Linked DNA regions of Oryzias latipes. The protein of the gene in region 2 interacts with the protein of the main gene of each other region in a pairwise test. Links are inferred from orthologs where the notes say so. Each region holds a gene or a part of one and is shown on either strand. Other genes may lie near its edges.

Evidence for each region. The genes of interacting proteins can lie anywhere in the genome.
Region 1: the proteins of prkaa2 (region 2) and ccnb1ip1 interact in binary tests that used the Homo sapiens proteins (3 or more experiments, as listed by UniProt). The two-hybrid records come from large-scale screens. The link is inferred for Oryzias latipes from reciprocal best matches to the Homo sapiens genes PRKAA2 and CCNB1IP1.
Region 3: the proteins of prkaa2 (region 2) and l3mbtl3 interact in binary tests that used the Homo sapiens proteins (3 or more experiments, as listed by UniProt). The two-hybrid records come from large-scale screens. The link is inferred for Oryzias latipes from reciprocal best matches to the Homo sapiens genes PRKAA2 and L3MBTL3.

Annotation. Positions count from the first base shown.
Region 1 is NC_019876.2:17,647,464-17,651,557, forward strand, and holds the start of ccnb1ip1 (E3 ubiquitin-protein ligase CCNB1IP1), read right to left. Parts: upstream 2,914-4,094; 5' UTR 2,813-2,913; intron 1,035-2,812; 5' UTR 1,033-1,034; coding exon 730-1,032; intron 656-729; coding exon 334-655; intron 1-333. UniProt on the Homo sapiens protein: Ubiquitin E3 ligase that acts as a limiting factor for crossing-over during meiosis: required during zygonema to limit the colocalization of RNF212 with MutS-gamma-associated recombination sites and thereby establish early differentiation of crossover and non-crossover sites.
Region 2 is NC_019862.2:3,542,321-3,546,025, reverse strand, and holds the end of prkaa2 (5'-AMP-activated protein kinase catalytic subunit alpha-2), read right to left. Parts: intron 3,366-3,705; coding exon 3,115-3,365; 3' UTR 583-3,114; downstream 1-582. UniProt on the Homo sapiens protein: Catalytic subunit of AMP-activated protein kinase (AMPK), an energy sensor protein kinase that plays a key role in regulating cellular energy metabolism.
Region 3 is NC_019874.2:17,836,647-17,840,845, reverse strand, and holds the start of l3mbtl3 (lethal(3)malignant brain tumor-like protein 3), read right to left. Parts: upstream 2,914-4,199; 5' UTR 2,262-2,913; intron 858-2,261; 5' UTR 834-857; coding exon 723-833; intron 522-722; coding exon 326-521; intron 173-325; coding exon 1-172. Other genes in the region: transmembrane protein 244, read left to right, coding at 3,413-3,445, 3,753-3,838. UniProt on the Homo sapiens protein: Is a negative regulator of Notch target genes expression, required for RBPJ-mediated transcriptional repression. It recruits KDM1A to Notch-responsive elements and promotes KDM1A-mediated H3K4me demethylation.

The DNA.
Region 1 (4,094 bases), on a different chromosome or scaffold from region 2:
GACACAGAATCGGCTTCAAACTCCTGCTGCCCGTTCTCTGGAGGTGTCTTTTGATCAAAACACCTAACGGTTCAGCGCTCTTTTAGGGGTTTTAACGCTGCTCTTGCTGTGACTATTTCCTGTTCTAAACATGGACTTAAAATTCAAAAAAATGATTTATCTTAATTACATTTTTTAAATAAATTCAGAAATTTTTTTATGCCCCTGAGTGATTATAACACAAGACACTTTCCAAGTCAGAAAAACATGCTGCAAGTTATTGATATCAATTAAGCTTTTTTCTTCATGTTTGCCTTAAAACGTGGCCCAAATGAGACAGGGACGTCCTCTTACCGTGGTTTAAGTCTTGATGTCCTGTTTGGGGCTGTGTGTCCCTCTCACCCACATCCACCACCATGTTCCGCAGCCTCAGGGAGTCGTACAGCCCCTGCAGTTTCTGGTACTGCCTGTTTCTCTCCATCAGCCTCTCGGACACCTCGCTGTACTTCCTCTTATACTCCTCCATCACTTTCTTCAGGGATGTGATCTCCCCTCTCATGGATGAGAGCTCCAGCTCTCTGCTCTGGTTCTGCTGGGTCAGGAGCTTGTCCATCTGCTTCAGCTGTCCTTCAGCGCGGGAGAGACTGTATTCTTGATACATGCGCTCCTGATGGACCTGTCAGGAAAAAATAAAAAAATAAAATCAAAGCTGTAAGACGCAGAGGGATACTAACTAAGTTAAAAAGTGACCTGGTAGCTCCAGAAGGCCAAGGCACGAGCACAGATGTCCAAAACTACGTCCGGCCGCAAACCGGCCAACACCATGGCTTTGTACTCCTCAGATGGAGAGAGCTCTGTCCTCACGATGTCCAGCTTGCCGGACAGCGCAGAGGAGCAGGCGGGGCAGGTGGCAGGGGAGCGGCTGAACTCGCCAGATCCATGCTGGTCGCAAAAGACGTGGGAGCACGCCGTGACCCAAGCGAAGCCGCTCAACTTGCTCCGACACTTGGGGAAGTTACACAGCAGTGTGTCGTCACAGAGAGACATGGCCATGACTGAAAGGTACAGCAATGGTTTCAGTAAAGAGACCCGTGCAAAGTGACAGCTGTTGACAGGAAATACTGACTGTGACCATTAAACAACAAATTCTTTGTGATAAAATCAGTCAAGGGGTATAAAAAGTAAAGGATTTTGTGTGTATAGAAAAGTTAATACTAGTCCTCTTTGCTACAGATAATTAAATATCAAACTAACAAGACTAGTTTCTTTTAAATATGGAGATTCTGAGAGAACAACTTAATAAAGCATCCTAATATTTGATTGTTTGCACCTCACCACTAAACAATCATTGTAGACACTCGTTCCCCATTTGAACGACAGCAAGCAGAAAAAGTTATTTTGTTTTTTAACCCGCCATGAGGTATAGGGCCAAAGTAAAGAAACCCCCCCTCCATTTATTTTTTTAAATAAATAAAATTGAGCTACAGGGTTTAAATAAAAAGTGTACCTTTAAAAATTACATTGGTTGAACCTGCCTAATTCTGTTTGAATTGGTCAGAAATTATTACCATATTGCATTAATTAATGAAAAAGAAAAAGAACAAATTTAGGTTTTAAGTTTGACCATTAACTTTTATAAATATGACATTTCCCCACAAACAACTGTATTAAAAAAAAATAAAGTTCCGGTCCATGTTGTCATTCTAACAACCCAAAAGTAAAGTCTGTCTCTGAATGTTTGATTGTCTAGCAGAGGTGTCACACTCATTTTCACTGAGGGCCACATCAGCATATGAGCTGTCCTCAAAGGGCCATATATGACTTATACATGTAACTAAATGTAATGAAAAATAAATGTAACTTCTCCTTGAGGTTAAATAACTTATTATTTATTGATTATACATTTTTAAACTGACAATTACAGTTACATTTAAAACATCCCTTGGCTTGTTACTCTAGCATGAATCCTTTTAAATTTTGTCTGGTTATTAAAATCCACATAACTCCAGTAATGATAAAGATATGATAAAGACAAAAAATAAAGAAAAATAACAAACTGAGCTAAAAATATTATGTATTAAGCATGTATAACATTTGACAAAAAAAGGCTGCACACAGCCTTGCATCCAACTGATGGTTTGATGACAATTTGTCTGCATACACACAAACATTGAATAATTACAACAGCAGCTACACATAAATAATATGTAATCGACAAAAAAAAAATATTTTAAGAAATTAAAATATTTTAATTGAGGCCTTGAGTTTGACACATGTGGTTTAAGGGATCAGTATTAAATTCCCTTCAAAAAGGTGTAATAATTTGGTTGATATTGTGTAAAATACTGTTGCATATACCAAATTTTAAGAAGGTTTTAATATGTTAATAAATATTAATGGGAATCGAAAATTTGCCTAATTAAATTTATATTGTTCTCATAACATTTGGATTTTTAAAGTGATGATTAGTATTGGATACCCTTATTATTCCAAATAAAATAAGCTTTTGTTGAAATGTGTGTTTTTAGACTAGTTTCTAGGCTAGTATGGCTTGTTTTTACAAATGTTAAAGTTTTGTGGGTTATTTTTCTTTTTTATTCCATGAGTCAGAAGGAAAGAAAGTTCAACTTGTTAATTTTTAAAAAGACGTCACTGGCTACAATTAGCTAGCTACCTAGCTAGCGAGTAAATAAATAAAGATTCAAAGCCCTCGTCTTATCTTTAAATATTCGATTAATAATGCGTAAATATAAGTTTAAAGTCACATATTTAAATATAGTAATATTTTATCACCGCAACTGTCTTTTTTTATTCGTCAAATAGATGTTCTTACCACTTCGTCCAGCTGCAGGTGTTAGCTAACAGGTGACGCTATTCTCGCTCGCGCTGTGATCCGATTGGCTGAAATTTTTCCTTAGACAGCCACAGTTGATGGATGCAGCTTAAATGTTAACATTTCTGTTAATTAACTAAAATGAATGGATACTCTAAAAGTTTGCTATTTTTAACATATAAAAAGTCCAAAGTATATTGTTCACAATAAACATTAGCTGAGGCAATAGCTTCACATTAGCACATCTTTAACATTTGTTTGTGTCTATATTTAGGTATATATATGAATGCATGCAATTATTTAAAAAAAAAAAAACTTGATTCGTGGAAAAATATTAGCTCTGACTTAAAAAACAGAGACACACTCTGATGAAAATTGTGTTTTGGGTGATTTTATCATGTTTGTTTCATGATGGAAAGAAAATTAATCTTAAAATTGCATTTCTGAGTATTTCTTTTTTCAAATCGTTGTGAATCAGGAGCAGACATAAAAGGCTGTTTGAAAAAGCTTGTAAGTGTGATGTACAAGTTAAGACGGCGAGTCACAAGCTCCCTGCTCCGCTGCATTCTGATGCATCCACTTGTAGACAAATATATTTGTGTTCGTCTTTGTTCTTCCCTCATCTGAGCTGGCATTTGGCTCAAAACTGCATGGCTGGCTTGCTCAAACACTGCTCGCCATCTTTGTAACACCTGTAATGTCAGATTGGGGATGTGCCGGCTGAAAGCCAGCGAGAGAGAGAGTGTAAACAACAACCCCACACACACACACACAACTCAGAGGGGAATTTCGAACGAACTACTGCTGCTCTGCAGAAACTATGTCCTAGAAAACGAGACAGGTTTTTTGTTTGGAGCTAAAAACTGCATAATCCCAGGTAAAAGTTCAGTGGGAACGCTCTGAAAATAAATAAAAAAGATGATCAGAGAGGGACTTAAAGTAAGGCAGTCAGAAGAAAAAATTAGGATATCACATATTTTCATTGTAGAGCGCATCGTTAATAGACATTTGCTGCTTTCTCACAAATGTAACGTGTCAAAATGTTGCTTAATTTATACATCATAATAATAATGCATGAATCCTGATCATGTCTGAGTCTTAAAAGTGTACTTAAAGTCAAGTTATAGTGGCATCCATCGATCCCTCCTCTAAACCTGCTTTATGGGGCAACAATCTTGATTAAGCAGAGGTGAAAGTTTCATCTTTGTTGGAATTTAACAATATAAAGCCATTACCTAAAACTATGAGCAAAGGGAAAACTGGGTCAAGAACACTCAATCAA
Region 2 (3,705 bases):
ATGACCCTCTGACTTTGAACTTTGGATCAGAGGAATTTCAAAACACCATCACGTCCAACGAGCGGGTGAACATTCAGGCTCGTCTTTATACAACCATGTAAACCGGAGAAGCAGAACTTTACAGGATCTGCTCAACAATAAAAAGACTAAACTTCTGTTCCAAACACTGTCCCACTGTCAAGGGTTAGAATCCTGAAGACCCGTCCTTGAGCTCCTGCCTGAAAACGGACAGAGTATCTTGTCAAGCCTGATCACAGTCAGCTTTATTTCTGCGCGTTCATTCTCTTCTTCCTTTCTTCGTCCTCCGTGAAACATTCAGCGTTATGCTATTTAAGTACACACTCCTTTTAATGCGTCAGGTTCATGTCATTATTTGTAACTGCATGGAAATAAGCTACACAGACTGTTATTTTGCACATCTGGATGTCTTCATACCAGGACCACCCTTTTAGGAATCCTTTTTCTGTCCCGGATTCCTTTGCTTTGCCAGGTTTCTCCATCATAGCCTGGTGAGGGCATCTGGGGTGTGTTCGCCTTCACCAGTGTGCGTTTGTGTTGACAAAAGCCTGAGAAGCAAAAGTGTTGTTTTTGTATCTTTGTCTTTATTGTCAATAAATACTCATTAAAGTGCAAATCATAACAGCAGGATCATGCAGCGCACGGCAAAACCAATCCAGAGTTCACGTCTGTGCACGTCCCCCAGGAGCCGCCGTGTACAGGGGGCAGACAGGGAGGGGTTAAAGGTCACGGCTATTCAGTTCCCCACTCACTTTGGTGTCGGATGTGGTTCTGCTCCAGACCAGCTTCCAGAACCAGCGTGCCGCTTGTGGCTGCGTAGCTGCTGTGTCTGACAGTAATCATGAAGCAGGCGTGCTTCCATGTTGGCAGAGGGATGGCTGCTCCGTGCACACACAGGCAGGTGTGCACGGACGTTGCATGTGTGCATGAGCAGAAAGGCAGCAGAGTCAGAGACGGAAACCCAGGAAGGTCGCAGCTTCAGCGGAGGCCTGACCGGCTGTGAAAAAGCCCTCGCTCCACTTGTGTTCAGCAGCAGAGAACAGGACAGCAGTGCTGCAACAAACCCTGCATGTTCACCCCATCAAAAGCAGGCCCCAGGACTTATTGCCTCTCACTTGCTCAGGGCTCCACTTTCATTTGCCAGAATAACCCAAAGAGAATGTTGAGATGCTGCAGCCGGAATCAGCAGCGCGACCTTTGAGGCCGGACTGACTCAAACAGAGAGGCTCTGAGCCGCTACACACTAAGTCTGAGATTAGAAGAAACATTTTGCAAAACTAAAGTGACACTGTCATTTGTATAAATGATCACAACAAAGCCCTTCAGTCAGCCACACAACCTAAACTAACAGGCACTGCAGCACATCCTCTGCCTCTGAGATGAGCGTTTGAGCGGAAACGGGACATCAGCGTGAACACAGACAACAGATGGAGTGTGATGCAGTGAAGAGCCAATCTGACCTGGAGACAGGTTTCGAAGTGCAGCCCGAGCGGAGGCGGAGCAGTCCTCTGACCCCGCTCTGCTTCATGGCCGACCCCTGCAGCCTCTCTTTAAGCTCCACGCGTCTACACTTCAACTTCAGCTCACCAAACATCAGTGAAGAAATCCAGGAAACACACGCACACACAATCAGGTCACACATTTCCACCTGCACAAATCAATGAGTTGCACTTTCTCAGGCAGCTGGAAAAAGGGGGTTGTGGCTTATCTCCTCCTGCAGGACATACACACCATTTCACCCAACCGTTGTCCTTCTGTGTCCACTATCTACACACTGGATAAGGGAGACAATAGGGTTCAGTGTGTTTCTGAACTATTTTTCATAATCTAAAGGCTACAGGTGCTGCGGGTTTTTGGGCTGTCCGGGCCCATGGAGGGTCGTAGAGAGGAGGGGCTGCATCTTAAGGGGAGCGCAGGTGTGTCTTGCAGTTCCCTTCAGGCTCGCGACGCCACCTTCAGGGATGTCATGAAAATGGAACGTACCATTGCCACGGGTGTGATAAGTCTATTGAACAGTAGTCGTAGTGATGATGTAAGTTCCACGTACTCATGACATGCGGGTGATGCTGTTGTACGATGACCTTACGCTACACTCTACTGTTTGTTGAGGTGTGATACGCTTAGATGTAGAAGTAATGTCACTTTGTCCTGGGGTAAAAAATCTGTGAGACACGCCTGCGTCTCACCTACCTCCCCTTCACCTTACCCTTACGTTTCGTATAATGGTTTCCTTGCAGAATGCTCGTAGAATAAATGTGCTTGAACATTTTTGCTCTTCGGGGTCACTGGGCGGGGTATGACCTTGATATTTCCTCCGTGCCCTGTACAGATTTACCCATTTTCCACCTGCAGAGAGCCCACATCCCCCCGTAGGAGCGGTGGCTAAAGGCTTTACTGTGCTAATCGAGCAGCACTTACAAACAGATGACGTGCTGCGTGTTAGTTAGTAACTGCTGCTGTTGTGTGAACAATCACGCCTGTGTCCCGACACCAGGGACTCACTGCAGCTCCTGAACAAACGAAAGGAAAAAACGTCGACAAGCTCTGCTGCTCCAGCTAACGCAGTCACGGCGATAATGCACCTTGTTTTGTTGTTTTTATCTACATTCTACCTTTAAATCAGATTGACCTTTGGTTTAATGAAATGTTTAAAGGACAAACTTTGTAATTTTTTTCAAAAATAAATAACCATTTGATACCTAAATAATTGCATTATTTGCGTGATGAATAAATGATGCTTGTGTGTCAACACTTTTAAAGCTTTCTAATAAGAAACATAACCAAAGCTTCTTTAGTAAAACCCCCGATGGAGTGGTGTTGCCGTGGACACCGCTGCAGGTTTTACCATCAGATGTTGTTTTTGACACGACACTGACCTGTTCCTTCACGCTTCTCTGCTTCAGTGACATCATGAGCAGAGTGGGATCTCAGGCTCTGTTTTCTCAGACCGAACAATAGTATTGACACAAAAAAATGACCGTTTGTCTCCCTCTTTCCTTTCTGCACGCTATACAAACACTACATTTAGTTCTCCACCTCCCAGATCGGCAGATACTTTCAACCCAACATTCTGCTGACAGCAAAGGTCAACACACCTCAGCGCGCAAGCGTGGTGATCAGACTGGCACACATTTCAAAGAAGTCCATGGTGTGCGATCCCTGCCGCGGGGAGAGGAGGGGGGAAATGCCGGACAGCGATCCCGGGAGGGAGGAGCTAAGCTGAGGCACATCGTTGGCTGGGCTTGCAAAGTCAATGCTCAGCCTGGGTCTGTGGAGACCTGCAGTGGAGCCGGACCTCTGAGGAGTGGACGACCCCGATTTAAAGCCCACTGCTTCCAGGATGTCATCTGAAGGTCACAACATAGAGGAGCATTTTATTAGGGACTTCCAAGCCTTCTGTAGTAATAATCCAAGCATTTTTAAATCAAACTATGAATCTGGCCTGTAAGTGACTAAATACAAACATCGCAGGAACTCTTTCCAACTTTTCAAAGCCACTTTTGCAAAGACCTTTAAAAGAAATCAGCTGCTCAGGATGTAATGAATCTGTGTCCTCTTTGCATCTTATCCTGTTCAAGACTTTCGCCAGATCAACAGTGGACCAAAAAAGTATTCAGTCAGCCCCCAATTGTGAAAGGTCTCCCACGTAAATAGATGAGAGAGTAATTTTCATCATAGGTAAACCTC
Region 3 (4,199 bases), on a different chromosome or scaffold from region 2:
TGGGCACACGCAGAGCTGCAGAATTTGCCCTGAAAGAGGGCAACTCCAGAAACACGACCACCGCAGGCCCTGCACCTCAGCAGCTCTCCTTTAGGCCCTGTTTCTGCATTGGAACCAACGTCTGGACTGGGACCAACCTCCATGTTGGGGGCCTCCGTGCTGCCACCCTCCTCTAAAGACACAAACACATGACTAAACGCTGAAACACTGAGCAAATAAAAGGGGGATGCAGTGTCCAGAAATCACTATAGGGAAAAAAAGTGTATTCTACAAACTGAAAAGTGTAGTTCTTTATAAAAGTAATGTTTGACACAAGCTTTTATACCTCTAGTTTGAGTTGATCCTGTTTTATTCTGATTGGCTGGAGCTGTAGCTGAGCCTGTCTGTGATTGGGCCTCTGGTGGAGGGGTGGGAGTGTGAGATGGCGCAGGGTCCAAGGTCTCACTGTTAGACACGGCCTCCTGCCCTTTGACCTCCAGATCTGTGACAATCTCAAGAGTCCCAAACTCTGTCATGCGGAACTAAAGCACCAAGGGGGGAAAACAGCAACAGAAAAAACAGCTGATTGAATATAATGACCATTTTCTAGATAACATTGTATTTTGATTATTTCAATGGCCAAATTATCAAGATAATTCACTATATAAAACACCATGAGTTAAAATGATGACAATTTTTGTACAAAAAAAAAGACCAGAATGCAGAAAAAACCTGAACTGTACCCTTATGTCGCTGCCTGGCAGAGTGGCTATCCCATCTTTCCAGTCGAGGGCTCCCATCATGTCAAACTCAGCTCCCTGAGAGGCTCCATCACTGGGTGGAGTGTCAGTCATCCCCACTCCACTGATACGACCACCCTGTAACAAGAAACCACTGTGACAAAAGAAAGAAATGTGCAATGGAACCCAAATGCATAGAACCGATCAGCAGGACTAAGATGAAACATTTTATTGTGTTGTTAAAGTTGGACAGGGTTTTTAACACGAGAAAACAGCCGAAATCACCAAAAGCAGCTCCTCTCTGCACTTGTAAACAGCCTTACGCAACATCACCAATAGATGGCGACGGCGAGCCGGCTCGCCGGGTACACCATGCACTTCGATTTCAGACAAAAACAGTCAATAATAATGCAGTTTTACCGGCAAACTAAGGGGCAAATACGCGCACAAACGACCTCGTTGGGGTAAACCGTGACCAAGACCATTGACAAGCCCGGCGAAAAATGTCTCAACTTTAAATTAAACACACAAGTTCATCTTTTCCTTGTTTTAACAGTATCTCTTAAAGATGACTGTTTCCCGGGTGACGAGCAAGTAAGGCGGATATTTAGTCATCCATTTCACAGAGAACATTGTTTTCTGCACTCACTAGCCAAACTTAAAAACGTTTAAAGAAGTCTGTTATTCTGCAAAAACGTTTTAGTCTTGACGCATGTTCAACACCGAATTAAGGTGATATTTTTGGTTTGTGCCGCGGCAATAACCAGTGTTAAAGTGAACAACAATCCTAGCTTATGGATTGTTGGTCAAGTTTGGCTTCAAGCCGGAAACCTCAGTTTTATTCCAGCCATAAATAAAAGTGTCTCTAAGAGCGCCCATGATGATTAGCATTCGTCTTATACAAAATGGCGGAGCATTGGAAGAGGCCACCAACACGTTCAAACTATGTTAATTACTCAAGTTACCGGTTTAAACAAATATCGCAAAGCTGTAGTGCGTCAAATAAATGCAGACGTTTTCCGTGTAATTCCCAAGATGGTGTTTTTATTCACTCTGCTCATTTTTCTTCACTTTCCCCTTGTCACGGAATGTCAACCCAGCTTGCTACAGCAGCTAGTGCTGCAGCTAACAGTTAGCTAGCCCCCTCCTCCCTTCAGATGAACGGGTAACTGCTACACGGCTAGCCCTAGCATTGTGACTGTAAGCAGCCAGCTAAGGACGATCCGTAATAAATAAGTTTCCCACTTAATAACACCGGGAAAACGCCTTTGCGAAACGCAGATCTCAAACAAAATATTAAATGCACTCAAACAATAAGATCGTGCCACTGTTATAAGCTTAAACATTGTTGCTTGATTTATTTCTTCAATAGAAACTTGAAAAAAGAAACGATTTATTCTCGCCGTTTTGAATCAGAGTGGAAATAACGCAAACTAATGTTATTTATCAAACTAAACTCCGTTTTCCCCCTAAATTTAGCCCACGTTCGCGTCAATAAATAATATTTAAGGCCCGCAATGTTTTGAAAATTGTGGAACTCACCTCGTTTCTGTTTTAACTCTTATTTAGAGCTGGATAGACGATGCGCATGCGTGCAAGATGCGCTGCCTGACAACTTTGGGTCTCGGAAAAGTTCAATTTACTTTTAGTGGTCAATAGCAGGCACGCGTGCGCAAAGCACGCGCCCAAACCCCAGTTCGGTACCAGTATAATAATACTCCCAGCAGGATACGGGGGGTTCCTCTTTCCCCTTCCCACCCCGAACACGAACAGTCTATGAAGTCACCAAGAACTAGGAGTATCATAAAGCGCAGGACCGCAGCGCTCCATTAACCGTCGAGAAGCGTCTAGTTCCTCTGTGTTCAAACAGTTTACGTGCCCATTTGAACCACGTTACTCTCTGGCAGTACAGTCCGTGCTAATGCGCTCCGATTAGCCAAGTCTCCGTGTCGTATTCGAGCTAACATGCGCTAATGTGCGCAAAAATAGCGAAAGGACTACTTGAAAAAAGTCAAATGCATCACGGGACGGTGCACCGGTGCTCTTTAGTAACACTGTCGTTTCTGGCCGCAGTCTACGGCTATAAAAACGGACTTAAACATCCCATCCTCCTGTTTGTACAAGTACCGAACCTGACAAAGTAATGCACCAAACTAACCCCGGATATTAACAGAATGTTTGATTTAAAAGCCGCTATCACAACATTTCTATCATTGAATGCAGATTTAGTGATTTTAACTTGAAAAGCTCGATTTGCGCGGTGCGGTTTTGTTTGTATATTTTCAGTTTAAAAGTCCTGGTACTACTAAGACTTATTTATCCCGTGTTAGTACTAAATATTGAGCGGCTAACCCAGATTGTTTTGGCGTTTCTATTACCTTCTTTTTCATTTAGTAGGCAGCATTTTTACCCAAACTAATATTTCACCTACATTTTTGAGACGCCATTATATTAAATGAATATAAATCTGCACACCAAAAATACAGCTCTTGTTTTGTTAACAAAGGTCGCTCTGACACGAAATGAAATGAGTTCAGCTCGACCATAATAGCGGCGTGTAGCGGCGCCGCCTCTTGTCTCCTCTCTGCCGCTAGATGGCGCGCCGAGTCCAGTTTGTGAAGGATTAGCGGCGTCTGCTGCAGTCTGCATTTCTGCAATATTTTTCCAGTATAGCGTCAAGTGCAAATCATGAGATGGCATTCAAAGGCAAAGCGGTCGATTCAAAGGTAAGAGGAGGGCATCGCCGTGCTGTGCTGCGAGGCTGGAACACTTAAAATTATGTTTTTCGATTCTGTCTGTCGAGTGACAATAATGTATGTCAGATACTAACAAATTATATGACACAGTTGTGTTATGTGTTTATTATAACGCCAGGTTTACTTGTGTTATAGGCGCTGTTAGTGAAGCGAAGTCAGTCTGCTTTAACACTATGTTCTCTATTACAAACCGGCAGGTTTCTCACACCCAGGACGTGAAATTACATGCTTGACATCTTAGACTGAATAAATGACCATCTCGTGTGTTGTCTTGCAGACCGTGCTGCTCAATCTCCTGCTCTGCCTGCTGATATTTTATTCTCTTTTCTATATGATCGGGAGCGTGTGCTTCGGCGCGTTCAGGTGAGCACACGCGCATGCGCACTGCTGCTACACAGAGGAGAGCAAGTGAAATTGTGTTTTTTGGTGTTCAAAACTGCATTTCTGGGTATTTCTTTGTTCAAATCATTGTAAGCAGGAGCAGATGAAAAAATGCAGTTTTAAAAAACACGTAGCAGTGAAGTAGGTGCTTAAGTCGGGGGGCACAAATTCCATGCTCTGTTCCGTTCTGATGCATCCAATTGCAGACAAATAGATCACATTTTTTTGTTGCACTGCCAATGTTAAGTTGGGGTTGTGAGGGGCTGTAAGCTAGCAGGACAGAGTGTAAACAAATGGATGTTGGGAAACGAGGACAGGCTTTCTCAGCACCAACAGTCCTGCC